Lepisosteus oculatus: one gene and its partner. The protein of the gene in region 1 purifies or fractionates together with the protein of each later gene. This does not show direct contact. Links are inferred from orthologs where the notes say so. Each region holds a gene or a part of one and is shown on either strand. Other genes may lie near its edges. The genes, in order: katna1 and katnbl1.

Region 1 (14,879 bases):
AATACTTCCCTCCACGACGCAGTAAACCGCTAATCCGCTTATACCAGACGAAGACAAAAACTAAAAACAAAAATCTGAGCATTTCCGCAGCGACAGCTACAGTACAATGCAACATCCATACGTTTTCTAACTGCATCTTCCAAGTCAGGGTTGTAGGGGAGCCGGTGTCTATCCCAGCAAGCAACCTGCACGAGACGGGGTATATCTTGGACGGGACGCCAGCCCATCACGGGGCAGACAAACGCAGACATAGACACACTCACATCAGGCCCGTCTTCCCAGAAGCCTTTTGGACTGTTTAGACAGGGGGAGGAAACCGGAGCACCCGGAGGAAACCCACAGGAACACGGGGAGAACATGCAAACTCCACACAGACAGCACCCCAGGAACTGAACCCAGGGCCCCAGCGCTGCTCACCACTGCACTGCCATGCCGCTCTTAAATTGCGACAGACACTCTAGTTCAGCCAAAAACATGGGAGGTTTACCATCTCAAACAGGAGTCGTACTAATTTCTCAGATTCTCCTCTGTACTTGGAGGTGAGTGTTGATGAAGACACGTTGAAGAAGGTGGTTCTGCATTCCGTAGCCACGGCTTTGGCCAACAGCGTCTTTCCTGTGCCGGGGGGGCCCACCATCAGCACTCCCTGCACGGGAACAGACGGTTAGCAAACAGAGCGATCTCAATCCAGCTGGTGAACACGGGCGCGCTCCACACGCTACTGCAAAACACACAAAACCTTCTGGCACATCCAGGAAAAGGCCGAACACCTGCATGCAAAGCAAGGTTTACTGAAACGGCCACACCCTGGGAAAACTTCATAAATATTCCATAAGTACCTTCCAGGGCCTACGAATTCCCTTGAAGAACTCCGGCATCCACATAGGCAGTACGACAGCTTCCTTCAACAGTTTTTTGGCTTCTTCCAAGTCTGCAATGTCATCCCTGGAGATGGAAGATAAGATAATTACATGTGGGTTTTAAAAGGATACTACCCAACACCCAAGTATTTACTGGAAGACTCATCGCAGTCTTGTACATTCTGTACCTAACAAATTCAGGGTTTCACATAAGGAATTTGTGTCAAAATGCGCATCAGAAAAAGGTTACATGCTCTGTCAGTTCAAAGTTATACCGCACTGTCTCCGTCTTTCCACTGTTATTTGTTGCAAAACAAGTACGGCGTTGGCACATCCTGCGAGTTTCATCTCAAAATATCCAGCCATCATGACTGCCAAGTGCTGATCAACATCACCTGCTAGTGCAGCAGGTAAGTTGAGGAAGATGTATCTTACACAGGAAGCCAGGTGTTGTGAAAAGCATGAAAAGGTAAATGTGTAACAGGCATAGTATGTGACTTCCATTTTATTTATGTGCAATAATCTTTTCTTTTTTTGTTCTATTTTGATTTTATGTCTATTTGAAATGAACATTACTCGTTAAAACATATTACTGCTATTCACTACAATGCATATATGTGTTATACATTTACCTTAACTTTCTATGATTTATGTACATATTATCAGGTCACCAATGTCCAATTGCCCTTTGAGTTCATGAAAAATTTAATTTTTGTTTAGTGTTCAAAACACCATTGTTTCTGTAAAATCAGGAGGTAAGGTGCTTGTAATATAAAAACAGGAAAATGAATTGTGCCAAAATGAACTCCACAGAATTTCCTTGTTAAGCCACTAATGATACACTATGTCACAAAAAGAACTTTTTACTCACCATTTCACATTTGGGTTTTGAGAGATTATATCTCTTTCGAGGGCCTCTACAAGGTCTTTATCATATCCAGTTCCATCAAACTTCTTGACTTCAGTCTCTGAAACATCAGCAGATTTATTCTGTAATGCAAAAACCAACAATTACTGTACTTACTCCAGGGAATTAAGGGAGATCTGATCATTCTGAGAATCACAAACCAGAATAACAAGTCTAGTGTTATGGTTGTATGCTTATGACCATGCAAACGTTAGCAAATGGGATTAATTTGGTCTTATTTTGTCATGTTAGAATAACCCTAATCAACCAATTGTTTCAGATTTAATCTGTTTTTTTTACATCACACTCATGTACAGTATGCTTCACAAGAAGCAGATTTCAAACACAAAACTTGACCAATGATATACAGAACATATGAAGTTGAAAGAATGACATTCAGGGAGAACGTTCTTTTACAGTGGACATCTCAGAAAATTAAAACAGACACCTCTGATGGACATAGGAAGTTCACTACAATGCTTTGCTACTTCAAAATAAAAGGCTTATGGCACAGTGATGATTAGGATAAAACTGAAGTGTAGATAATTGAGAGTAAAAGTGCTATTAAATGGAATACATTTTGGGATGATATTTAAAAACCACTAAAGTGATTTTTTTTTCTTTTAGAACAAGTGTGCACTTTTCTACATTCAAAAACAGTTTTACAGAAAAGGCACGAAAATAAAGGCATGCATTAAACTGCACTTGCATACAAAATTCCACAATTGTTCTTACTTTATAAACATCTTTATAAACATGGCCACACCCCTGCAGAATTGAGATTTTGAATGAATGTTATTATTTTAAATCTGCTAGCTGGGATGCATTTTGGAAGCGTTTAAGAGTGCACAGAAAAGGGCAAACGGGCTGCCGTTAATAGCAGGGAAACATGCAGCACCTTGTCCTCCTTTGATCTGCCTGGCGCCTCTCTCTTGTCTTTGCTCCGGACCGGCTTGGCTCGGTCGCCGTTGGCTCCGCGGGCTACCTGCCGATGCTGAGCCCTGCCAGCCCCACTCAGCCGATTGTTGTGGTGGATTTTACCGTCCTTGTATGGAACAGGCTGCCGGCGGGCAGGGCAAGGCGATGACCTTCGGGGGACAGGAGGAGGAGACGTCAAACAGCACTCACAGGTTACAGAACCCTTAGCAAGCCGGCAAGTCTGTCCCGCACTGAACTCGAGGCACAAATATGCTTTTAAACAGGGTTTCCTAAAAATGCATGGGATTGGGAAGATTAAGACCTTTGTTCAATTCATTCAGCCAGCAGAAATATCACCCTGCAACTCACAATTGGCAGCCCCACTAGAGCCCAGCAGGTGTGAGGATGGTCAGTACCTGGATGGGAGACCTCCTGGGAAAGACTAAGGCTGCTGCAGGAAGAGGTGGTAATGGGGCCAGCAGGGGGTGCTCATCCTGAGGTCTGTGTGGGTCCTAATGCCTCAGTATAGTGACGGGGACACTATACTGTAAACACGCGCCGTCCTTCGGATGAGACGTAAAACCGAGGTCCTGACTCTCTGTGGTCATTAAAAATCCCAGGGTGTTTCTCGAAAAGAGTAGGGGTGTAACCCTGGCGTCCTGGCCAAATTTCCCCCTGGCGTGTACCAATCATGGCCTCCTAATATTCCCCATCTCTGAACTGGCTTTATCACTCTGCTCTCCTCCCCACTGAGAGCTGGTGTGTGGGCCCATCATCCAGGTGGGGCTGCACACTGGTGGAGGTGGAGGGGATCCCTATTACCTGTAAAGCGCTTTGAGTGGAGTGTCCAGAAAAGCACTATATAAGTTTAAGCAATTATTATTATTATACTAATAAGAGAACCCTCATTATTCTATACATCAGGATGGTTTAGAAACCGCAACTACGAACCACACGAATGGAAACTGATCTGAAGAGTGTTTTGTCTCTAGCTCATTCCCTGCTCTGCACTGTTTACTTAACTCCACCTTCCTTTGAGCCTCCATCTATTTTTTTTTAAATGGCAGCACAGATGTGTTCAAATTCAGGTTTAGCGTGGATATAATTCAATATTAGCAGGAATAATAAGAACATTTCTCAAGACTAGACTGATGCCTGGCAAACTACATTTAATTAGACATATACACTGCACTACATGCAGGTACCAAGAACATGTGGTACTGAGCCTGTAAGGTATTTAGAGTTCAGGTCGTCTCACTGTCTCCATCAAGAGAAGGGAAAAGGCACGACAGCTGCCAGTCTGATGGACACGTATCTAAACCAACACTTGCACCTACTGTCGTGGCTGGATATGTGACTGACGCAGCTCCGGGAGAAGTACCATGCTGAAGGCAATGACAGCGGGGTCTCACCTGGGATTAGAATCTACAGCCTTTCAGTGTGAAGTACAGAGCCCTGACCTCTGCTCCACTCTGCAACCCCTGAGTTATTCATCTATCCAAACATTAAACTCTATACAGAAAGGTTTGCCACTTGAGAAAAAAAAAAAGTTAAAATCATTGCAATGTATGATTGGGAAAACAGTGTTCAATTCCGGTCACCATGTAGAGGCTGGGAATACTGAAAAACCTTAAGAAGACTTTATAATTCACAGAGTAACTATGGTTTAGATTAGCTTCAAAAAAGCTAGGAGCCTTTTCTAAAAAATTTCCATACAGCAGCAGTTTTTAGCGACAGATAAGGATGAATTTATCTAACTGCTCATGTGGAACAAAGGAACACTGTACTCGTTCTTCCTCGAGTGCTGAAGTCTTCAGTGCAGTTTAAAAAAAGCTCTTTTCTATGATCACCTTCTGTTGTTCTGTTTGGAACGAGTGCCATGTGGAATGAGGACTTGACAGCAGCTCGTCTAAAAAATAAGATGATAATCCAGTGCAGAGTAGGTGCACCCCAAACACACAACTCCAGACAGGAGCTCACAGTGCAGTTAAGTGTAAGAGAAATGACCATTTTCAAAAACAGTTACACTTAGGCACACTCCTTGTTTAATCCTGCAAATTAAATCCCGACACAGATATGCTTCTTTATATTTGTTTTCATCTAAAACTCGACAACCAACTTATAAATCAAAGTCTTTTAGATCTTGGCTGCAGGAATACTGCACAACGCTTTACAAAAAAGCAGGCAGAGCAGTCTTCCATGACTGCTTGTGGGGGGAAAAAAAAAGACCTTTTCAGAACATGTCAAAACAATATATACTTTTAAGGCCATAATTACTTTAGACCTTTTAAGGTCCAAAGATCTGAAGGAAAAAGCAGTAAATCAGGACAGCTCCACACTATGAGTCTACCACTGCGCTAAGCCAGGTCATATGAATTAATCCAGGAGAATTTCCTTCAGACAACTGCCTTATTGTTCTCCTCATCTTTAACCACACAGTGAGGAGCTGACCATACAGCAGCTATGTTCAAAGCCCAATTTAGTTGGCGTTTATTCCAATAGCGTGAAAGTAAATTTCAGAATAATACTACCTCTATACCTATAGGTGCTGCACATCAAAAGAAACTTGCCCCTGCAGCAGATGATTAAAGTTAAGATCAGGGGATCCCTTTTGCAAGAGGTGTGCCAACAACTTTATTGAATTGAAAAGACTTTGCTAGAGTGACTCTGATGCCATCGAGGCCCGAGAGCAAAATCCAGGGCTTAAAGCAGCAAGCCGATCAATTACAGTAGTGGCACCAGCACGAGGGACTGAGGAATTGTTGGAACACAAAAACAGCAGACACAGGGCACTCCGGGATCAAGAGCCACCGATTAGATCAACCACGTCACCCTGAAATACACACTAAACCTGCACTCAAATACAAGATCTGAAACCCCAAGTCTTGCATGAGAAGTCAAGGGACGTCAAAAATGTCTTCCACTTCGGGGCACATACCTGCGCTCAACCTGAACAGGCCAGATGTCTCCGTCTTGACTTGGGGGTTTAGAGGGCGTGTTTTCCAACTGGAAGCTTTCCAGAGTGCTCACTATCTCCCGGACATGTTTATTTTCATCATTTATGTCCTGCCACACCTGTTAAGAGAGACACTCGGGACTTAACGGCATGTACTGCTTCTACAAGCTCCACTATTATACATTTTATCATTATCTTATTTCTTAGAACACAGCCATTGCCTAACGTTCTAGTCTATTTCAGACCAAAGTTACCATAAAACCGCTTCATGTACTAGTTTTAAGCATTGCACTGCTCTTACAAAACACACTCATAACACAAGGAAACTTTATTTCACTGCTTATTAATTGTATCCAAAGGTTAAAAGTTAACTGTAACAATTCATTCGCACTTTTAATAATGCAGTACTGCTGAAAGTTGTGAAACTACAGGCGCCTCAAAGAACCACCTATTCAATTACAGTACTGTAACCTTATGAGCAAATAGCCCTTCACTGCCAACATTTCTTAGGATTGCTTCCATACAGTGGACACCTGAACAGCGCCTGTCTTGCACTCCCCCATGTGAATTTAGGCAAATCTGCTTTGGACTCCAATAATCCCGAAACCAGCCCTTGATGCCTGCGATAAGCAATGGTTTTGAGTAAAGGTGACCAGACGTCCCTCTTTCCGAGACCTTAAATATCGGTCCGACCGGAATTGATAAAACTGTCCGGGATTTTGTTTTGCTCGTTACTCAGACTGTGTAAACAGACAATCGGCATACAGGTTTTCCTTCCTTCCATGTATTACCGGTAGATGTTTTGTACTTACAAAAACCATTTGATGGCCATGAGAAATAGTTGAACGTGTTTCATTATATTTCAAAATGTTTTGTTAAACTTGATCATTTTTGCAACCAATGAGGACGATGTATTCATTTTTTCCTTAGATGTTAAGACATTCGTTGGTTTTAAACAAGGCTGAATGTTTATTTTTCCTTGTTTGCCATTATGTAAGAGAAAGAGCACACCTGCAACTGTTTTTTTTAAAACTTACCAGGAAGTTTAATAAAAACTAGATGGAGCTTAAATTGATTTTGTAATCAGAAAGAACCATAAAGATTCATTACTTTGGAGGCATGTGTCGAGTGTAGATTATCCCCGCCCTCTTTTTAAAAACCGAAACATGGTCACCCTATTTTAAATAAACCTGAAACCTGAAACAGTGGTTACCTGTTGCCATTTGTGCTGCAAAGCGGCATCCTTGACTGCAAAAAGGTACTTCTTGATCTGCTCCAGCACGCCTTGGTAGCAGACCAGCGCGGAGCTGTAGTTCCCCAGCAGGGCGTACTCCCGGGCGAGCTTCACGTTCTCGCTGATTTCAAGCAGACTCATGCTGAACATCACCTACACGTGTGTGGGGGGGAGAGAGACCACACGCAGCGTCATCACCACCCGCCCCGTGTGCCAGACACTTGACTTGACTTGAACTTTATTGCCATATGTAACCCGGCCTCCGGAGCCGCTCGGTACCACCGCCCGGGCCAGGCGGACCCGGGCCGGGATCGGTCCCGGTTCCATCTCCACCTCGCCTCCAGACACGTGGGGAGGGACAGGCTGCAGCCCGTCACTAAAACTTCTGTTAAAAATGATCTTACGCCTCGACGACCATCCCTCAGACGGCTCTCAGCGACGGCGTCGAGCAGTGACAGAGATCATTAATAAAAAAAAACAAGCCGGAGGCTCGCTTATTGTTCGTCGCGACGATAAAACGAGGCCGGTACTAACACCCACAACCTAAACACGCACCCCGAGAGTGTGTTAACCTCCCGGACCAGTCTTAAAACAACTTCAGTGCTAACTCTTGCGGCTGGCGTGCCTAATAAAAATCAGCAGAGGACGACAAAGAAAGCGTCCTCACTGCCCCCCGACCCGCACCCGGCTCCTCTCCATGTTGTTGTTGCAGTTGCTGTTGTTGTTGTGAGGAAGCCCTAAAACACCCACCTGTTGCGGGAAGCAAGGAGAAGCGCAAGTACCATTAAAGCTGAACTGCAGACACTGTCGTCCCTGAAAACGACGGCGCCTCTCTCCCTGCAAGCTCAAGCCTGTCCGCCCATCCTGCGCCGCCGCAGCGCCTCGGGAGAGTTTGAAGTCAAACAGCAGGCGTCATTTCCTGGTGCGGCCGGACCTGCCGAGGGGTGTGTCCGGGACATTCAGCCATTTGAAAAGGAGAAAACTTTTTTTTTGGGGGGGGGGGGTGCGTTTGTCAGCTACATTTCACCTACGTTGCGGTGCACTCGGCGGCAGGAGGGCCTCATATCCAGCCACCCCGGGGGGTGTTTTTCCACCTGCAGTACTAGACGTTTGGGAGACTGTGCGCCGATGGCAGGGGCTGATGCTTTTTAAATAGTGCGGCTATGTTTAATGCGAATGTTAAATTAATTTTTATTTCGCGTTTGTAAAATGGTTTCTGTTTTTCCCATACACAGTAAAAAAACAAACAAACTATATCCAACCCAACATATTATGGGTGTACTCACTATACATAAACATAATACAGACATGAAGAAGGCTCCACGGCCGAAACGTTGTGTTTTCTTTCTTCTTTTTTTCAGCATGGAATAAACCTATTACTTGTTCCTTTGCAGCCTACGCATGCTGACGCAGCTACCTATAATACAGACATGTACTACATCAAACTCCCTATTATTTATTTTCATAGGACATTCTGTCCAGAAAACACCTTATTTCGGTGGTTAAGCATAGTGCTGGGGTCCTGGCTTTAATCCCCAGAGTGCTATCTGTGTGGAGTTTGCGTGTTTTCCCTGGCTTCTCATTAGTTTCCTCTGGGTGCTCCAATGTGCTCCCAGAGGACAAAGACATGCTGGTAAGTTTACTGGGTTCTGGAACGTGGTTCCTGGTGTGTGTGAGTGTCCCCCTGTCTGTCTGTATGTCTCTGGACCTGCAGTGGACTGGTGTCCCATCCAGGGTGTATCCTGCCTTGCGCCCAGTGCTTGCCAGGTTAGGCTCTGGCTCCCCGTGACCATGTACTGGATAAAGCATTTTAGAAGATGAGTGGTTGGATAGAATTTTCCTTCTTCTGGTTTCTGTGGTGCAGAAACCGCAGTGCATTCTGGCTCTGGCACAACACCGACCGATGGAGTCACATTGTAATTCTGACAATCCCTGGTCTGCTTTAAAAAAATACAAACTGGACCCAATCTTCATGACCATTCTATAAAACAAAATGAGAAATGAATGTACAGGCATTCAAATCACAATGTTGGGGGTTTTCTTTAATAAATTACAGAATTGACACAAAACTAAATTCTAAAGATAAGTTTCCTACAACCTGCTTTGTTCACGCCACATGATTTATTGTAACAATGACTGCAGTCGTTTTAAAATAGACTAGGGAGTGTATCCCAAGTTAAGTATCTAAATAAATTAAATGATCTAAATAAATTTTGGACACAGCCAAAAACCACTGAAAACAGAATAACAATGCCTTAAAATCCCATTAGGCACATATTTAAGTGTGTGTGGTGTAAATTATTCTTCCATCTCAGAAATATCGCCAGACTACTTCCTATGTTGTCTCTAACTGTAGCTGAAAAACTGGTCAACACATTTGTCTTTTTCAGAATTGATTAATGCAACACCCTACTTGCTGGGGTATCTGAATCCACACTAAACAAACTTCAGTATCTCAAGAATCCAGCAGCCAGAATCCTGACCAGGTCACATGCAAGTGATCACATTACTCCTGTCCTGGAGTCCTTGTACTGGTTTTCCTATCAGGTTTCATGTCAACTTCAAAATTCTCATGCTCACCTACTGTATAGGGCTGTACATGGCCTGGCCTACAGTAACTGACTTACTATCTTCCTACTCCCCCTACTCTTCCTACGCCCTGAGTGCATGGTTTCAGCTGTGTTCTGGTGGTTCTGTAATGTTGTGGGGTGCTTTTTACTGGCATGGTTTAGTTGTCCTCATTCCTTTACAAAGCCATTTTAGGTCTATTCACTATTAAATCATAGTAGTAACAACTCCTTACACTTATATATCACTTTTCTGGACACATCTCTCAAAGCGCTTCACAGGTAATGGGGTCTCCCGTCCACCACCACCAGTGTGCAGCCCCCATGGTGATGTGACGGCAGCCATAGTGCACCAGTCCGCTCACCACACACCAGCTCTCAGTGGGGAGGAGAGCAGAGTGATGAAGCCAGATCAGAGATGGGCATTATTAGGAGGCCATGACGGGTAAAGGCCAGGGGGAAATTTGGCCAGGACGCCAGCGTACTTCATGGTACTGAGTGATCATCTGCTCCCCATATTGCAGCATTTCCTTCCCTCCGGGAGGGGTGTATTTCAGGATGACAGTGCCCCCATCCACGATGGTGTCCCTAGGTCAAAGGCCGTCTCCATCACTTAATACGAACCTAATCAAACACTCGTTTGCCACTTTCATCAAACACCGTAAGGCGACCAGCTTTCTCAAGGAAGAATGGTGCCACACTTCTCCTATAGTATTCCAGATGCTGGCAGACATGTCACTGGTCCAAAGTCACATGAAGTGACGTTACAATGATTTAATTTTTCTTCACATTTTTTGTTCAGCATCTTGTTTCATGATGATTTGCTACTTGTTCTGCAATATTCATTAATTAGCATTATTCTCAATAAGTATCAATTTACATTTAGATACTGCTGTCATGGATCCTTTTGTAACATTTCAATTTCCTGTGCAAAAAGCAGTGATGTGGAAACAATTTTTTTTTAAAACAATTGGTTTTATTTTTTTATTTAACCCCCCTTCCCCCCCCCATCAGAGAAATTACAGATATTACTAAAGAAATGATTGTGAAATCATGGTAACGTGATCACTGTAAAAAAAAAAAAGAAATGTCATTGCTTATGCTCCAGAATTATTTTCAGACCTATGAAAACTTAAAAAAAACTCACAAAAAGAAAAGGATGATAATGCAAAGAGATATGGTGGGCCCGTTTTAATGTGCAAAGGCTCTCCATGCCTTTCTTCAAATCCTAAAGAACGCTACCTGCATGCTTTGCAAATTGCCAACCAGTGAGAGGAGAGTCTGTATTTTATCCTTGTACTTTGGTTGCGTTTAAGACCATTTTCTATGTACATAAAAGTACAGCCCCTTGTATTAAGGACTTTGTTTTTAAAATAAAAACACACCCTGTCCTGACTCCTCACCGAGCTCAGGGTATCAGCCCGACAAGTGGTCCGTTTCTCTTTTCAAGAAGCAGAAAACCTTGAGAGACCACGTGTGCATGATCAAAAAGCTTACAAAGTCAAGAGGGCCTGCCCTAAGATAGCTCATCAAAGGTACTAACAGGATAGGTAAGAAAAGTATTTACACCAAATTTATACAGCATAATTTATAAATACATTTTATGTATAAATTAGGAAGAAAAATACACAAAATTACTAGTATAATCCACTAAATATTAACCAGCTAATGTGTTCCCATTAAAATGCTAAGCCGATTAATTTTTGACTATATTTGGTAAAAGAAAACAAATTTCGAAAGGCACTGCAATTTACACAGTTTCAAGGGTCTCGCTTCCTCCACCTCTGTTCCATACAGAAATTCAGTTCACCTTTACAACTGGACATGAGACTTTTCAAAATATAAATTAAAACAATATCAATAAAATAATCAGCTCCTAAAGGAAAAAAAACAACAACAAACAAGTTATGGTGTTTATCTTGAAAGGTACTATCATCACCAGTTTACAATATTTAAATAAATTAAGGCTGAAAGGGGGTTATTTCTTTAAAATAGTTTCAGATACAGAGTACAGGAAGAGATTTTAACTTTGCCTTTCCACTACTTGTTTTTGAAGTTTTTTTGTTCAGGCAGCACATTCAAGGAACACACTGTACACCCCAAAATAAATACACCTAACGTACAGTCTGCACGGGACTTTCAACGTCCTCCCCGGAGCTTCTCTGCTGATGCTTGTGTTCGTTTTCCCGAAATGTCCGTTCCGTCTCCCAGCCAAATCCTGGCTCCCTGCTGTGAAGGCAAAGGTCAAGCGCGAACCCACCGCCGATCGAGGGCTGAACGCCCCCTCCTTTATCATACAAACACCCAAGCTTTACCGTCTTGTTCGTACCCCAGCAGCGGCCCGGACGACACTGGCAACGAGCGGGTCAGCGTCCGCGCGGGCCCCCAGGCTACACGTACACCAGATCACGCCCCTGCCCCCCCGCGTCCCGCCGCTGGGGCTCCGAGTCCAGGCCGTCGCGGCTGTACTCCTCGGGCCCGATGGGCCTGGGATAGCTGTAGGGGTGCCCGTTGTCATCGAAGAACCGGCGGAAGGTGAACTCGTAGAAGGCGTGCTCGGGGTGCTTGCCGTTCTTGTACCAGCCGTTGAGGGTGTCGTCGTTCCTTCCCTCCGCGTCGTCGTCGTCGCCCCCGCCGCGGCCGGCGCCGCCGCCGCTGCTCCAGAGCTTGTCGGGGTCCACGGGGTCGAAATTGGAGGTGTCGGTGCAGTGCGCGATCTTGGGGACGTACGGCGCCGGCCGCTGCTGCTGCCGCAGGTCCGTGGAGAAGTCGATGGTCCTGAAAAAGGGCTGCGCCTTGATCTCGTCGGCCCCGTTCTTCCCCAGCCGGTCCTCGGGGCCCCTGCACAGCTTGATGATGAGGTCCGAGGCTTCCGGGCTCAGCTTGGCCTGCGGGGGGACGTGGAGGGCCGTCTGCCAGCTGATCACCTGAGGAGAGAGAGCGGAGAACAGCCGCCACCCGTGCGTTAATTCGTGCTCCGAGCCGTTACGGGAATCCCATTGGAGACTGACTGAGAATCGGCAAAGCTACGTAGAAAGTAATGGGACTTCCAAACTAGCCCATGTTTTTCAGACTCGGGGGCCTGGTGTGTGTAACTTTCCTACGAGAGATATTTAAGGGAGGTCACTTGGGTTCAGCCTCAGAAGGCAGTACCCATATTCCATGCATCAACACACAGGTCTTTTTGCTCGTTGTCTTTTGTAAAGGTCGCGGCGGTCGCAGCGTGCCTTCCGTTACCTTAAGCTGCGTCTCCAGCGGTGTTGTCGCCAGGAAGGGTGGCTGTCCGACCAACATCTCGTACAGAATGACGCCGACGCTCCACCAGTCACAGAGCTGGGTGTAACCTAAAAAGCAGCCGCATCTCAGAAGAAGAACAAAATAGCACTTCCGCCCACTTCTCGTCTTACGGAGTGTGACGGACAACAGCTCAAAACCAGCGAGGCCAGCCTTTTGGGACGGTGGCATTGCGGGCTCCGGAGCTCGCACAATCCTCGCGCAGACGAGAGCGGCGCGCGGCGTGGAGCGAGCGAGCGCGGCGGTTACCTGTCCGCAGGAGCACCTCGGGGGCGATGTAGTTGGGCGTGCCTACGAGGGAGTGGGCCAGGCAGCGCTGGTGCTGCCGGGCGGCCCGCCGCTCCAGGGGCTTCAGCCGGTCCCCGCAGCGACAGCCTGCAGGGTCCTCCCACTCCCTGCTGAAGTCCATGCTGTCCTGCCGGGCGTGGTCGCCTGCGGAGAGCGCAGGGCACAGGTGAGAGCACGCTCACCCACAGCTCGCCCAACGTATTCAAACCGAACGCGGCATCGGCAGGACATGACTGGATTATAAAAACTACGCTCTTTGGTTATAAAGAGCGTAGTTTTTAACACACTTTTCCTCCTTTCAAGAAAAACATCCTTTGAAGTGGGGCCAAATCCCAGTACAGTATAACGCCACAAAATACACTAAATTGTGCTGGGGAACAGTTTGTCCAGGATTAGGACCTTCTTAATACAGACGTGTAAAGTACATGAACAACGAACCCTCTTCATCACTTTAATTTCCCAAAGGAGAACAACACCTTACTTTATGATCTCCCCTCATGAAAAAACACAATTAAAAGGAGATCAGCAAGTTTGATCTTAATCTTAATTAGATCATAACTTACAATTCTACCCAGCAACTAGAAATTAAGGAACAGAACAATACATCATTCGTTTTTAAAGATGCTGTAATCTACTTTAATCCTACATTGTATCACTGGTGTCAAATTAATTGATGTGTCTTTCAAGCAGGCCATACGCATCATAAATTGTCAAAATACTAGCCACAAACATTATATAGTATCATTTGTCATGTTCTGATTTTTTGGGATTTATTTTACCACGGTATATATCTCCCTTTAATATGCAATTCACAATTATTCCATCTTCCCTAGAAGTCATTAGTATTCAATACACTCTTGAGTATAGAATGTTTCCGGAACTTATTGTAATTAAAAAAAAAAATATCATGTGATTAATGTGATTTATGATTACTGAAATTTCACATTACCAGCCATTTCTGAGAAACAAATTATCTTCTCAAAATTAGGGATGGGTAAATATACATATACCATTGGTAATCTGCAGGACTGAAATGCAAGCTTATACAACCTTTGGGATAAGTGATAAGCACGACCTTTAGACTCTGCTTGAGGCTGATCACTGTGATGAGACTAACGGTGACTGTGATAAGTGAGAAACACCTCATCTTGTTTCATATTTAGCAGAATTTTTTAACTGGGCCACAAAGCTGCCAAAAGGCAACGTTTAAGGGATGTCACATGATGAAAAATAAAAAATGGGGAAGATATCAATAGACATAAAATCTTGCTAGGTACTTGCTAGATATCAATGACAAAAACAGCAGAAAAAAAAAATCAATTATATTCCTACAGCCCCCGAATCCAGCACATCAGCTTTCCATTTACTTCTATGAAGGCGTACACATTTCTCCACTTCTACCGAGCCACACAATTCGATATTTTCTTCGACAGTTATAAAACCCTTATTGAACTGTGCCATTTGAGATAAACACTATGGGCGCTGTCAGGGAAACCGATGGTGCTTCAGTCGCTAAGCTTGGTCCAGGACGTGGAGGAAAGGGGACATGGTGGTGTGACAGAGCAGGACAGAACAGTGCTCTGAGATGGGACAGAGGCAGGGAACCACAGGCAGCACCTGTGGGTGACACTGCTACATTCATATCGGCTCTGACCCCCAGCTTCTCTTCCTTCATGGAGAGCAAGCTGGGGAATCTGGAAGGACAAATTCCCAATTCAAGAAATTGTATATGGCCCACAAAGTGATCTGATCTATCTTATCAGGCTCGCGTACACAGCCTGCACTTACCACTCTGGTAGTACTTGGAGTCGTGCGTCCACCGGAAACCAGTACAGAGGCCGAAGTCGGTGAGCTT
Region 2 (15,592 bases), on another chromosome or scaffold:
TTTCAAGAAGGCTTATATGATGCTGAGAGGCCTTAAAATGCAACAATGCTATTGGCTCCAGTACTGATTTCTTGTGTTTTAATGCCTCTCAGATATATAGATGAAATTCCAATTTCAATTATTATTTTTAGTTTTTTGGCTACGCAAGTTATGTTGACATAACACCAATATATATAAACATTCTACAGATCTTAATGACCTAAGCACAGTGTACCATAACACTTACAGCTAGTTATTGAAATGACCCTTACCAATATGAAGGATGATATCATACATTCCCATCTGAGTTTCCTTCTGAAGCCTGGCTAAAGACTGGGGGTTCTCATTGCCCAGGTCACCAAATAGTGCAAACTTAGGGCTCCATTCGGTGCCACTTTTCATTGCAGTGAAGTAGAACATCTCACTCCAGCCGTCACTGCTACCACAGTGATAAACTGCAAAAAGACAATTACTTCTGGTTAGTCACGAATAAATGATGCTTTAGCCCTGGATTCTTTACATTCTTCCCTTGCATGGTGTTTTGAGTGATGTCTCAAGATTGACACTTTTATTCAAAGTGACTTCGATTTGTACTCATTTATGCAGTGGGCATTTACTGAAGCAATCTAAGTAAAGTACCTTTCTCAGCAAGGTACGCATGGCCTCTCATGGGATTTGAACCCCCAACCAGAGCCCTAACTACAGTTCCACACTGTTGCCCCGAGATACAGTATATGCAAGGGCTCAAATAATTGACATCCAAATGAAGACTCTGGCTTGTTATTGTTTTCATTCAATAAGGCTGATAGGTTTTTCCTTTTTTTAAACTTTTGAATAATTAGAAATCTCAACAAGACAGATTGTGAGAACCAACAAGTCCAAAATCATTTTGGGCTGTTGTCAAACATACACACCCATTAGCATTTAGCTGCTCTTTCCTGGCAAGGGTTATGACAACCCAGTTCTTATTCTAGTAGTATAAGGGGTAAAGCACATAGTATCTGGCTGGGGCTGCACCCTGGACAGGACACCAGCTCATCACAGGGCACAAGTAAACACACAGGCACCAATTAAAGGCACTTAGAGACACAATTAACCTAACAAACTAATCTCTGGGAGGTGGGAAGAAACTAGAACACTACGAGCAGCCACACCACCATGTTGTCCTTTTTCACAATGCATATATATACTGTATATATCTATCTAAACATTCAATTAAAAATACAGAGGGTAATGTTTTTGCAAACTGTAAATTGTAGGTTAGTAAGTAGCCATGGGGAATAATAGCTATGAAACACACAAAATACATTTGATTACATACTATAAAACTGCCATCTAGTGTACACCTCCGGAATAGTCTGATAAAATCATCCAAACACAAAGGAAATGTGATATAATATTATTACTGGTGAATGGTCTTTAGATGCACTGGGTTTAGATATTAACTGAAATATGGACACAAAGGCAAATGCCATCTTTTACACTCTTCTTGGTGTTTCTTGCTGTTTGTAAGGTCTAGCTACTGTATAGTGTATTTAGTGTCCAGGTGTGTTACACTCCAGAGTAACTCAAAATCCGTTTAAAAGCAGGGCTTTCCAATTCTAGTCCTGTGGGACCAGTATGTCTACAGATTTTCATTTTCTCCAAGTTAGCCAAGCCAGCAGGTTACAAGCTTTACTGGAGCAATTTAACAGCTTCTCCCAGCTCTTCAGGTGCTGCTGCTATAAAGCTGCCATGCAAACCTTTCAGGACAAAGACTGATTACCCCTGGTTTATAGTATGTACTGTATACCATGAAAATCACTATTTAGACAGTGTGTGGATCTACAGAGCTGCAGCTGAATTATATTTTCCCACTCTTCCTTTTTCCTGATTCAAATAAAAGCAAACAGAAAGGTCTGAGTAAAGCTAAATGTGCTTAAATGTCTCACCATATTAAACGGCTGGGGCCAGAAAGTACAGAAAAGGAAGAATAATTCTGCTGAACCATATAAAAATAATACAGTTGAAAGATGACACCCATCATATTAAACAATAAACAAGCAGGACATGGGGAAGGGTACACGTGTCTAAATATTTTGAAAACCAGAGCCTTGAGGCACATTTCTTTCCATGCACGTGTAGTTATGTAAATGCGATTCGAAAGGGTTTCAAGTAAAAGTGATCTGTTTGTGGTGAACCAGCCACAGCTCATGCAATGTTCTTTTTAGTGGATGCCTGTTACTTGAAAACCATTCTTCCCTCTGCCTGGCAGTCTCTCAGTGCTGAGAATACAACGATTAACTCTCTCCCCATATTACACAGTTTGCCAGACAGCACCCCAATCCATTTCTAGGCAATTTTGTAAACATACAGTACCATAGGTGGAGCCTGGCTTGAGGTCTGTAAGTGTCACCCGATGAATGTGTAGTTTTCTCTTCTCCTTGCCACCATCTTCAAAAAGAGTGTAGCTGCCTTTGGCAGTCAGCTCAAAGAGCTTTCCTCCCCAGACTCCATACTCCACCCAGGATTCTGCTTTATCGAAAGTGGTCCAGGTGATGACCATAGACTGTGGGACTCCTGAAAAGAGAACCAGCTAAAGCTAACTCCTGGGATCAAGGCAAAAAGAATAGGAACAAGTAAAGGTTTATTCCATGCTCAAAACAGAAGAAAAGAAGCACAACATTTAGACTGTGGAGCCGATCTTCTCTTTTCTAATATTCTACTCTTTTCTATTTATTCTTTTTTTTACGTTTTTAAATGGTTTGCTGAAGGAACTTCTTGATCTAGTAAACAGGTTTTGGCTGAATAAGAGGAAATTAAATGAAATAGTACAGTGTTTACATCAGAATATATAAATATAGGCATTCTGTGTCCATGACTATACAAATAAAAGGCTTTAATGACAGACGTAATAGTCTATGTGTTCTCCTCTTTGGCCAGTCTCATTGCCTAAACCCAATCAGGAATGAACCAACTGAATGAACCAATATTTTTTTAACTACATTCAGTTTTTGCCATGGCTTTGTGAGTCTGTCCTTTCTTAGTCACATTGGCAGGAATTGGACATGGTATTGGAACTTGCCATTGAGTTGCCAAGTTTCCTGTGTGTTTTGCAAAGTTCATACTCCAGATCACCCATGGAAAATTTTCAATACTGATATTCAATATTGATGCTTCTGCGCAGATTTTTTCGTTCTTCCAATACTTTAACCCTTAATAATTTAAATATTAAAGCTACCCTCAAAATCTGCAAATAATAAAAAAAAACCAATGAAACAGGAATTTCATAACAAAATGTTCTGACCATCCCACATAAGTAAAGCTCACCGCCAAATCCTTAACAGAATGAGGACTCATTCCACCTGACCTTAAAAAGTCCTAAAAAAGACCTTTTTTGCTTTCAGGCCAGTTAAGTTTGTAATGTCATTAATTGTCTAGGTCTAATGGCTCTGCCCTGCAGCTCTCCTGAATTTTCTTCAGTGCTTTTAATCTGTTCTTTTCGTCTATGTTAAGGATTACTTAGTAATGACGTACAGAGTGTCCAAAAGCACCCAACTAAACCACATACCTTCATTCTCATCTTAGCATAAATATGGGAAAAATTCCTTATATTTTGAATGATGCAGTTAGTTCATTTTTAGCGTTTAATAAACGTGACATTCAGGGATCTGCAAGTAGAAGATTAATAACGGAATATGTGCTTTCTATACTTAAATGTACCTAAATGTTCAACAACATTTTCTTTTGTCTTATGTTAAAGACTTTCCTTACTTTTTAAGTCTAGTATCTTCATCCAATTTTTCATCCTATGAAACCTGTTAGCTGTGGTTTTCTTCTAAGTGACTTACTTCTGGCTGTTCTGTTAAAAACAAATAATTTACCTTCTGTCACACTAAAAAACCTTATACTCAGCAATTCCCACACAATTTTATTGCGCCCATGACTCCTGATTCAGCTAGATGCTTTTCTCAGTCTGATATTTTCTTATTTTTACATACTTTCATCATAATGACTGATATTTTTTTCAAACTGAAAGATTGTCACTGTGTTTTTTTCATTATTTAGAAGATACATTTGATGGAAACAAGTAAACTAATAAAGAACGTTACCTGGGTAAGATATGTGCACCTGTTCTGGTTGTGTACCAATTGGAGGGACTCCAAGTACAAGGTGGACTCCAAAGCAGGAGAAAATACAGAGTCTCCAAACCAAGTCCATCTCTTACTAATGTCGAGAATCACACACCCTTATCTGGTTATTCAGAAAAAAGTATAATTTATTATTTATTCCGTAAAGCACTTTGATAAGCTACCTTTAAAGGAACTACATAAAATAAAGTTTTATTATTATTATTATTATTATTATTATTATTATTTGTTGAAAGGAAAATTGTTTAACAATCCTGACCTAAATCAAAGGTTACATTCTAATGTGTGAAACATAGCCTGAAGAAAACGCACATCTGAAAGTCAAAACACTGTTTTCATAGGTAGAATGAAAATGGTAGTTATCTGTAACAAGTAGCTTGAACACAACACAAATCTAGTACACGAAACTACAAGAGAAACTCATGTGATCTTGTCATGTGATCTTGTTTATGATAACAGTTTCTGTTCTGTTGCTTTAAAAGAGCTTAATACACAGCAACTATTTTTTTTAATTCATTAAGATGTTTACTGTTTTCATCTCACAGCATTTAACCAAGTGAACATTTTCTTTTGTCTTATGTTCTCAAATAATTGTTCTGTGTAAACAGAAGATATATAATATTTGAAAGTTGTTTACTTCTTAAAGGATCTTAAATCTTTCAAAAGCAACTGAAAACTGTATTCTTACCTGGTAAGTTATTTGGATACTATTAAGCACATCACTTTCAGATGTCCCATAACCCTTATTGTCTTTTCTTGGGACATTGGCAGTTTCCTTTTTAACAGCTTTCTCACACAGTTAACATCTGTATTCAACTTCCTGTCACATGCAAAGGTTAAGAAGCAACAATCTGTCAGCAAAATGCAACATAAACAAGAAACCACAACGCTCCCAGAATTTAATTCCTCAAAGCCGTGAAATGTTTTGGATATATTTTTATTTACACTTATGATACTGTAGTTGTAAACATACAATGTCATTGTGTCATTCAGGAAGTGCTGCTCATTTTTTTAGACTTGAAAGTTTATTAAATATTAAACAAGGAGCCAAGTGAAACAAGACCATAGTTAACAAAACATCTACTGTACATTTCTTATAACCTAGGCCAGAAATAAACAGAATTCCCTTTAAAGGCAAAATACACTGCATAATCCATTACATTTTTAAAACAGCAGTTTTAAAATATGCAACAGAGTATGAAGGACTAATATTGCAATTGAAACTCGACAGCTGGTCTTTCCTGTAAATATTGCAATACGGGTGCTGCTAGTTTTTTATTAAGTTTAGATATGAAAACATATTGGTAAAGATACAGAATTATTTGCTCGACACATTGAGGGAACAAATTATAATTATGTATGAATATTTTGTCAACACTGGTCATTGCAATAGTTCTAAGATATCTCAGAGTAGCTTATTCATTTAAATCGCCTTGTGAATGTTATCTATTAAATTTCAGACACGTTTCAATAATAATGCATAAGAATTTAACTTGTGAAGCTTTCTTAGTAGCTTCCTTTTTTGTCTCTGCTGCAGAATCTCTAGACCTTGTGTTTCTATATACAGAATCATACACATTTGTGACCTTTTGTTGATACATACTTTAATTTATTGTCTCAGATGGGAAATTTGCTTTGAAGGCAGGTAAAAGACATAATACATTTCCACAGCAATTAATTTTAACAAATATGAAACATACATGTATGATGAGAAAGAAAATAAATATATAAAGTAAAATATAGTCAGTTGTCCAAACTAAGGAGGTTAAACACTGGGAAAAGTTGACTAACGTCTATTGCTCTTGAATCTAGGCAATCTACTATAGATGGAAGGAGGTCAGTTTTACTGTGCAAGGGGTGGTCATGACAGTTAATGATAACATTGGCATTCCACACTATTTGTCTGAAAGCTGTAGTTGGCTACCATCACAATCCTGCTCAGTCAGTTTTTATTGTGGGTGTTAAAGTTACCAAAACAGGCTACTGCAGTGAATGTTAGGACAGATTCAAGGACGGTTCTATGGAATACAGTCATTGTTGTGGTACCCACATTAAAAGAGTGGAGTTTTTCTAGAAAGAACAATTGCTGTTGACTCTTCTTACATACAGTATTCTTGTGCAAAGTGATTAGTATCTTGACACTGTTGACAATTTCAATCTCTAGCTCCTCGATGATTGTTGGTTTTGCAGCTGGTGGTTACTTTCTATAATCAATAATCATGTCTTTGGTTTTTGACACATTAAGAAAGGAGTTCTTACAACAGCAAACGGAATGATATGTCTGTCCTTCAAAGGGCTTCTACAACTATCTGTATACAGAATGTATAGGATGGGGGACAGCACACAGCCCTGAGGAGACCCATTAGGAGAACAAAGCTGCTCTGATATAAAACCATTTACCCTCAATCTTTGTGATCTGTTGGTCAAAAAGTCTAAGATCCAACCTACAATATTAAAGTCTACATTAAAATGTGATAGTAATTTCTCCACTAATAAGTGTTGTTGAATGGCGTTAAAGGCTGATGAGAAATCTATATATAAAAGCCTGGTGTGTGGCTTGGGAACTTCTACATATACAAAACAATATTAGTGTGTAGAAGTTGAAAACCCAACAAGTGGGAACTTTGGAAGGTTATTAATATTCAAATTATAGCATTATTATAGCATAATAAGTATTTAATAAATCAAAACTGAATATTATTACAAGTGCTGGGGAAATATTCTCTTGATACATTATCAATTTTCAGTTAGTTGTGTATGCGGTATACACTATGTTATTGGGAAGAAAATATTTTTATAGCGTTAGAGTGATCCATGCAGTCAGTGCACATACTGTAGTTAGACTTTAAGGTAACACATTCAAGCCATGGGGGCTCATTAGGTCAGAGACCATCCCGTTTTTTGCCTTTAATGTCGGGCAGTACAGCCCAACACTCCACGGATAGGACGCCAAGGTATCGCTGGGATTACCTGATGAAAATGCTGATTCCAGGTTACACAGCAGTGTGTGTTATGGGGACTTCAACCCACAACCTACCATTAAATGCAGAGACCTACAGTACCTACTGCGCTATCTCCACCTTCAAAGTAATATACATTTTGTAGATAATCAATTTCACCAAACTTCGCATTTAAAAACACAAACCTTTAAAGAAGTAACTTTTTAAAAAGTAACTCTCATCCACACTGATTAAAACACAATGAGTCGGATACCTAAAATACGATTCAATGACAAAAAAATGCCCGTTATTGTTTCACTGTCATTGCTTTGTAGTGCATATAAGTGCCATTTCATGTCCACATTTTATTCTGCTGCGTTTGCTGATGTCGTCAATGTCTCCAAATAGGACAAGTCTGATTTCTCCCCACTTTCAAACAACTATCGACGCAGTTTGCACTCAAGCTGCAGAAATAGCCCCCGGCAGCTGCTCTAATATGGTGTCACGGGATCCCACCTATTTTACTCCTGGACTCGTCGTGCCACTAGGGGGCGCAGTAGCCCATGTGACTGCCTAGTCACATCAATCCCAACATGCCGTGTTCCTCTGTTTGAATGGCGCAGGCTCAGCTGGGGGACTGTGAATGTGTGTTTTAGTTCCTTATATTTTTACTTTAATAGACACTTACATATTAAATTTTAGATAAGAAATACAGGAAAGGAATACCACCGTCCGAGGACATTCACTTGCGAGAATCCCCCATAAACCTTTTCAAAATGTAACGGTAGGTGACTTTTTTCCTGGGCAGCAGAGAATCGCTAAAAAAATGAGTTTGTGAATTGTTTTGCAATTATCGTTTTCAAAAGAAGTAATTGTAATTCTGTAGCTAAAACGCATAGTTTAGGCATGCCGCTCCTGCTTCAGCATTACTCGGTACATTGTACGTAGGCCCCACTATCAGCTTTCCATGTACTCTTAAGAGTTTCTAAACAAATGTTTCGCTTGCATGTGCTGTGGCACGAATGAAAAATAAAATTGTCTTACCCGAAGTGTTTGAAGTATATTTTATTTCAGCTACGAACTTGAACCGGTTAAGATATAGTCAGGTCTGAAGGGGCCCCTTGGGCCAGACGGACACCAGAAGTCACTTATAATTTGTCGTTAATCCTTGCATTCCAACCTTTTGAACTCGCTTAATACTGTAAAAGAGTCTGCTTAGAAGATCCAGTAATCCAGTTGTGTATTTAAAACTGCGCCATATTGTTGTGGAAATAATAGATGAGTAGTAAGCATATTAGTCAGTTGGATTGTGGGTAAAATGGGCAGAGCAGTTTTTAATTTCGGTCGTTTTCGCGTAATGGTTTTTTTTTCGATAAAGTTCAAATAAAGTTTTATGTTTGTTTTTTATATGTAATCGTAGAAAAATCAAATGGCACGATAATGTAAAAGTTTCCGTTGTTCGCCGACCAAGCGAACTGTCATACCATGTCTGTGTCGGCGCCCGTTTCCCGGACTGCTGTCACCCTGGTCGTTTTTCAGTTTTAAAAGTTTATTTTTCTACAGGCGATTTTTTTTTGTCTTATTTGTCAAAGAAATGTCGTTACTCTATTAATAGATGATAGGGGTTGGTGTTCTCCATGAGGGATGAGCACTGGTGACGGCGCTTTGAGGTGTGTACTGTTCTTTACGCCTCCGTTGTGAATTCAGTTGGAAAACCGGATCTCAAAACATATGTACAAAATACGCAGGGCAATGTTTTAGAGTGTATCAGAAGACGCCTTAATTTAAACAGATTGGTGACTGAGGATTTTTAACTTTAGCTGGCTGAAAGTGTGTATTGAAACGAGGAAAAGTCCGGGCCATCATGCCGCTATAAGAACATTTTAGCAGGTTTTCTCTGGCTGCATGTTCTTTGTATGGTAACATCTTTGTTCGTGTTGGTTTCAGTTTTTATTATTAACACCGGCCGATGCATACGACACTGCTCTTTTTGCAGTCAATAGATGCCCATAAAAAGTTTGATCATTTGTAGAAGTTTTACATATTCTACAAGTGGTGTTGTTAACAATCTGTAGAAGAAACGAGATTCTTGTTCAACCTGCCCTGAAACACATTTAAAATTAAAAGTAGAATATCTAGCGGGACTCTTGGAAAGGTATGGGGTTGTAATTCCAAAGACGAAGTGTATGATCTTGTGACAACGTTAGTTATTATGACCCTTAAAATAATGTTGCATTGGTAATGTTGCATGAAAATCATCCCTGTTTTGTTTTTATCCTTAAGAAAGTTACAGTATTATGGCCTCTGGAGAACATGATGCTGAAGTTAAGGATTTCCAGCATCTTGAGGAGGCTCTACCCAATGAACTTCTCAAACAAAAAATGCTATCTTCTGGTAAAAAGAACATGAAGGAGGTAAGAGGTTGGTTTATTGAACCTGAAATAATTCAGAAAAGGATTTAGAGTAATTCTCATATATTTGAAATGGCTGTCAGACAATGTATTTACATATTTTACTTATACTTTTGAAGACAATGTATGTTTTATAAGTAATTTTTAAAGTGCAGAGATAGAAGTTATGAGGTTATGCCAGTTTGTTAATTTATTTTTGCAGCTAAATATTTTACTTAATGCAGTTGACTTAAAGGTACAACAGCAGTGTTTCACCGGGGATATGAATCCAGGAATATTAATTACAGAACCTTACAACCACTTTGCCCCACTGCTATCCAAGGTTAAGGCCAATAATATTTTTATTTCTATTTTTCAGGTGGATTTTTTTAAACTGGAAGAAATAAATAAGAAGAGGTAAGTTTATTTTCATGCACCTTTGTGGTTAGAGAATTTCAGTTTTCCAGTATCTTAACTTTTAAAAGCCATAATTAGTTTCTGTTGTGTAACTGCTGTCTGACCCCTTCCTTAACAGATCTTCAATTGGTTGCACTGGACAGAACTCCACCAAAGTCAAAAGGGTGGTATCCAGCAAGAGAAAGACTCGGCTCGTATTTGTAAGCTCCGGCGGACGGCGGAGACAGCCCTCGGCAAGCCGGAGCTGTGATATGGCAAATAAGGAAAATGAACTGGCTTGTGCAGGCAGCTTGCATGAGAGACTGTACAATGATGATCATTGCGGGTTCCCACTGAACTCTGCAGGATCCACAAGGATGGAGGGTGCAGGTTCCAAATACAGTGATTATTTTGCAGAGGTAAGACTGACTGCACTCCTCTTCAGCTCTTTGTAGTTATTCTTGATGCTCAGTAGTGTGGTATATGCTCATTGATGTATGAAATGTTCATTATCTTTTTTTTAATAACACATAGGCTTGAAATACTGCAGCACTAAGCATTGTGCTTTCTTCTTCCAGAAGAGACATCAGGTTGCATAAGAAAAAATATTTTTTAGGCTTTTGCAGTTTATTTTGTGATCTGTTTTCACTGTCTATGGGTAGCTTTTTCCTACTTCCCACCATTCTTTAGATAAAGTCGTGCCTCCAGTTCTCAGTTACAAATGCACTAACACATAGTTTGAAAGGTTATGTTCTTTGAACCTGCCACCGTAGGACATTTCCTTAATCCCCAGATCGTTTCTGATTTCTGGTTTCCAGAGCAGCACTTTTTTTTACCAAGATGCCAGTTGATTTTATCTAGCTTCTGCAACATTGATTTATAAATTGTCATTACACATTATAAAGTAATTCTGCAAAATTTGCTGTAGTTGTTTGTGACCTGAAAGGTAATTCAGTTTTTTGTATTGAATACAATAGTGCATGATTTTCCTTGTGAATTGTTTGTTAGAAATGCAAGCAATATATCTGAAAATCAAAACCAGAGACATACATTTTTCTTTTCCAACAGATATCAAAGGATCATGATACAATGACACAAGTGCTTTTTGGAAGAAATCTCAGGCTAAACGTAGCTCTCACTCTGTGGCGAAGAAATACTAGTGAATTAGTTGCATATCTGATCAGGTAACATGAACACCAAATTTGCCAAAGTCTGAAGTGTTTACTTAATAAAAAATGTTTTGTATGCTTTATTTTGTTATTGTAGTTCTTATTGCAACAGTGCTTGCCAACTAATTTTTTTAAAGTAGAAAGATCAGTCTAGTATAAATCTGTGAAATAATGAAACTTCAGTATAAATAGAATTGTTTATTACAAAGTGAATTAATAGATACTGTGCAGTATAACAGTGACAAGTGCAGTTCTACAACCAATGAGATTCCCCTGACTGCAGAGAAATTCAGTATAAGTAAAGATTCTAAGGTCTTTTCAGCATCTCACTGGTAGGAAGTGCTCTCCAGGTTTCAAGTGATAATGTCACGTTCTGTACCAGGTTCAGTATCAGTGAGCCCTGTTCCATAACTAATAGTACTATCATGGATGTCAGGTTTCAAATGCTATAAGATAAGAACAAATATATCTAGGAACATGCACAACTTAAGATAAGTAAGCTAATGATTAATGTAATTTATTAAACTTAATATTTAAATGCACTATACTACTTTGCAGATACCAACATGGGCTATGCAAATGCATCAACAGTAACAATATATACTATATTACTAAACAGAAGTAAAAATTGACTTATCTACAGTTTAATCAGGAGAATCCTGGTATTTTGAGTTTTTGTAATGTCTTTAATAAGTCAAAGGTGAATTAATGTACAGATTTATGCAATTTTGCATGTTATACTCCTTTTTGTACTCCATTAATATTGTGAAAAGTTTACAGAAAGCTTTTCTTTTAGAAAGTATCAGGTATACAGAAAATTAAAATGAGCCAGCCGTCTTCACAAACTAGGTATGTCTCTCTTGAGTTTTGCATTAAAAAAAAAAAATTAAACTAGTTAATTGGTATTGAGTGATTTGACCTAGTAACCAATTTAATCTGTACCAAATATTGTTTGAAAATCTTTTAATTTCTTTTGTCCTTTAGAATTCAAGATACGGGTGTACTTGTTGATTGCTTACCTGTAATTACAAAAAGGTGAGTTTTTAAATATAATAAATTAACATCAGATTTTCTAAAGTCAATTTCTTTACTTTAACCGAATGTTTCTTTTTTCCTATCTTAGCCTTCAAGATGAGAAATCAAGTATATCACTTGGCTGTTGTGTGGACCTCCTACCACTAGTAAAAAATGTACTTAAAAGTAAATATGAAGAGTAAGTATCCTGTAGTACGTGCACTGTCTACTCAGTTGTACACACTTTTCATTCTCGTAGAGCCAAGTTCCAGTGATGATTTAAGGTTCCACATAGGGACTAGTGTGGAGCAGGAGTCAGGATTGTAGAACATTCATGGGTTCAAGAACCCAGGTGCATATTGCTTGGAGTAAGTAGAATAAAGTGCCTTGTACAAGAACACAATGGTAGTATTAGACTTGAAACTCTACATTGCATCAGTCTTTTCTGGCACTAGAAAATTATTAGTTCATGTGCCTAGTGCAAATACTGTTGTTTTATGTGCGAGTAAGTTAATTATATTGCTGTAGTTATACAAGCTTTATAAATAGAAATTACCACTGCTCAGGCTTAACATGCATCCTATTTTATCTTCAGTATATTTCATGTTAAAGCAATCAGGACAATACCCATGCCTAGGAAACACTTAGGTTTGTGAATGACTTAAGGCATAAATGTGGTTTACTATTGAATTTAAAATATTTATCTTGTCTTGAGTGATATTAGTTATCTGCTACACACTGTGGATCAATGCTTACGTTTGCTGTTCAGTTTACTATCTTGTTTTTCACAGTTAAAAGCTTTTCAAAGTTTGTCTTCAAAGCTACAATTACAGTGATATAATTTTGTGAAAGAAATAAAATACTATAAATCTAATTAAACAATATTGTAGGTTTTGACAGAAATTTGCAAATACCGTAGATGTATCAAGGTTTGACCAACGGTTGGTCTTTCAACAGTGTTTGTTATTTAAATGTTGTTTTAATGACTACTAGTGCCAGAAACACAATCCTCAAATTACTTAAGGACCCAGAAAACCTGCCATGTACTTTATGTAGGTGGAGCATTGTGTTAGATTTATTTAAATATAAATCAAATACCATCTTGAAAGGTACACATTGACAGAGATGGACCTGGCATTTTAAGGTTACCATGAATCAGTGAAGATCAAGCTCTGTTAATGAGCAAAACCAGTATCAGTGCAACATCTTAGTGTGCACATACAGTACTGCTGCTCCATGATGCTTTAGCTTATTTGTATCACTTATTGAACACATGTAACTATGTAATTTATGTAATAGGTTTTCACTGTCCTTTTTAATGGAGCAGGTCCTGTTTAATACTAATATGTATTGAGTCTAGTGAGTCATTTCTTTGTTCCCTACACAAAGATTTTCTGTAATGTGTTCTTTGTTTTTAGTTACATAAGATCACAATTAAGTTATAAATGTCTTCTATCAAATTGATTCAAACTCGCCTTAAGGGGTGACGTCCTAATTGAGCCAGATTGAAAACAGCATGTTGAATTCTGGTAGGAGTGTTAAACAGGCACTCACATCAGTGAAACTCAAATAAACATTTTTAAATTTGGCATTGTTTCAGTTTTGGTAAACAGGAGATTACTGACCCTTAGGCTGTTTAGTTTTAAAGTGATAGGTCTGTTAGTCAAATCAAGAGCATGATTCTTTAAAAATTGTATTGTCCTTCAGACACAGTTAATTGGAAGAACTGTTCTGCCAAATATCATTTAGTGTCTGTAGCTGTTGTCAGAGCAACAATTTCTAGATTTCTGCACTGACGTGCTTCCTTTGGAAAACCTGTCAAGCTGTGCATTTATAAACACTGAATTAAGATCAAGATGTAATAGTGAATTTTATTTCAACTGAATAAACATCTTGCATTATGTATTTCAGATACCTGATAGTTGGTTTACTCTGGGTTCAGTCTGTTATTAAAAAATGGTGGCCAGAACTATCTGCAAATGGCAGAAATGCTCGGGATAGCCATTCTGAGGATAGGTAAGGTTGTGCTGTATTTTTCTTGAGGTTTTAAAATCCCGACTTCTGTTTCACACATTTTATATCACCCTCCACTTAATTCTAATTCAACCTGTTCTTGGTTTCTGTTTAGTTTAATTGTAGGTTTTCAATAAGGGGAAAACTGAAAATAAGAAAAAGCACAGTTTAGACAATGTAAGAAAAAGGTTACAAGCTTTTTAGGCATTGTACATTAGTTTTGTTACATCATGGAGTTTGTAGCCATGAGCCAAGACATTTGGTAATTCCATGAACTGGGTTGAACAAAAATGTAAAGATTCTAAAGAGTTGTACTGATGAGTGTGGTGTATAACATATTCAAAGAACTCTTAAACACTTAAAAAATCTGTACATGAGTGTAGTCTTCCAAAGTAAAAACTGCCACTCTTTAGACGGTGTCTCTAACACAGTAATAAAAAGGAATGTTGAAAGGTTTTGTAAAGTCTTATCCACAGTTTAAATAACATTGTTTCTCCCTTAGGAATATTGGAATTATGAAGCAGCAGTTACGTGAACTGTGGGAGGAGGGAAAACATTTATGTTGTGTTCCAGGAAATACAGGTGACATAGCAAAGGTATATGCAGACATAAAAAACATCTTATAAAATTATAAATATTCTATTACTCACTAGATATTATTGTTACAGTTTTACCCATTCTGTTGAAAACTGCTCTTTGGCTATTTTTATAAGGATGCCTCATTGAGTTCCAGATTGCAGTAGAGATGTTAAACATTCTAGTGTGTTAATTTGTATTTAGCCTCTGGAAGCAGTGTACTTGTGGATGTATTTGTGAAAATAATAAATTTTGGATTGTGATTAAACACTACTGAACTGCTGTATGTATCAAAACACTCAAGAAATCTTTTGTATTAATGTCCACATTGCTTTATTACATGACTTTTAAGGATTAGTTAATTGTGGCTTTAACATTAAAAATGTACAATTATAAAATTAGCTACTGTGATTATTTTTTAAACGTTTTTTTCTTTGTTTTCCAGACTGTGGAATCCTATTTATCACAGCTGCGGTGATCTCTAAATGTAGCACATAGGGAAAATAACCACTCCTTGCACTTGTTGCAGTTCTCTAAAGCTGCTTTTCAACTCCACAGTGGACTCTTGAGACTCCACATTGAAATAGTGTGGCTCCTGAAAGCATAGCAACACTGGGATTGAAGCTGAACCAAGAACTACACTTATACTCCCATTGAGGAAAAAAAACAGTAAAAAAGCCTTCCATTAATTGCAAATGACTGCTTCATATTGAAGTGGAAATTTTGCTTAAGGGCACATTTGACTCCATGAGATGAAAGACACTGAATTGATGTTGAAATCCAAGCTGTTAAATGAAGTGCCAAGCTATTTTCAGCACAGCATTGTTTTGCCATATTATGTGCATTTGTATATAGATGAATGTAATAAATGTACTTAAGTTACAAAATCCTGCAGTGAAGAGCTTGAAACTATATCAAAGCATCTTTAAATTATTAGAACATTTGCCTGTTTGTGGAAAAAAAACATACTTGACTATGTACATAGT

Evidence for each region.
Region 2: the proteins of katna1 (region 1) and katnbl1 purify together in Homo sapiens (affinity purification with mass spectrometry; 3 studies listed by BioGRID and IntAct, counting the BioPlex papers as one, with this or other methods). This does not show direct contact. The link is inferred for Lepisosteus oculatus from reciprocal best matches to the Homo sapiens genes KATNA1 and KATNBL1.

What each region holds. Positions count from the first base shown.
Region 1 is NC_090697.1:4,943,988-4,958,866, reverse strand, and holds the start of katna1 (katanin p60 ATPase-containing subunit A1), read right to left. Parts: upstream 7,805-14,879; 5' UTR 7,661-7,804; coding exon 7,658-7,660; exon of another isoform or gene 7,626-7,657; intron 7,029-7,625; coding exon 6,855-7,028; intron 5,761-6,854; coding exon 5,624-5,760; intron 2,856-5,623; coding exon 2,666-2,855; intron 1,851-2,665; coding exon 1,732-1,850; intron 946-1,731; coding exon 840-945; intron 647-839; coding exon 488-646; intron 1-487. Other genes in the region: serine/threonine-protein kinase LATS1, read right to left, coding at 11,833-12,369, 12,680-12,786, 12,986-13,168, 14,813-14,879. UniProt on the Homo sapiens protein: Catalytic subunit of a complex which severs microtubules in an ATP-dependent manner. Microtubule severing may promote rapid reorganization of cellular microtubule arrays and the release of microtubules from the centrosome following nucleation.
Region 2 is NC_090703.1:16,026,232-16,041,823, forward strand, and holds the start of katnbl1 (KATNB1-like protein 1), read left to right. Parts: upstream 1-7,629; 5' UTR 7,630-7,832; intron 7,833-8,092; exon of another isoform or gene 8,093-8,554; intron 8,555-8,663; 5' UTR 8,664-8,718; intron 8,719-9,331; 5' UTR 9,332-9,345; coding exon 9,346-9,462; intron 9,463-9,817; coding exon 9,818-9,855; intron 9,856-9,973; coding exon 9,974-10,253; intron 10,254-10,902; coding exon 10,903-11,018; intron 11,019-11,987; coding exon 11,988-12,038; intron 12,039-12,126; coding exon 12,127-12,216; intron 12,217-13,928; coding exon 13,929-14,033; intron 14,034-14,532; coding exon 14,533-14,626; intron 14,627-15,051; coding exon 15,052-15,084; 3' UTR 15,085-15,592. Other genes in the region: acp7 (acid phosphatase type 7), read right to left, coding at 252-434, 2,338-2,538, 4,071-4,179.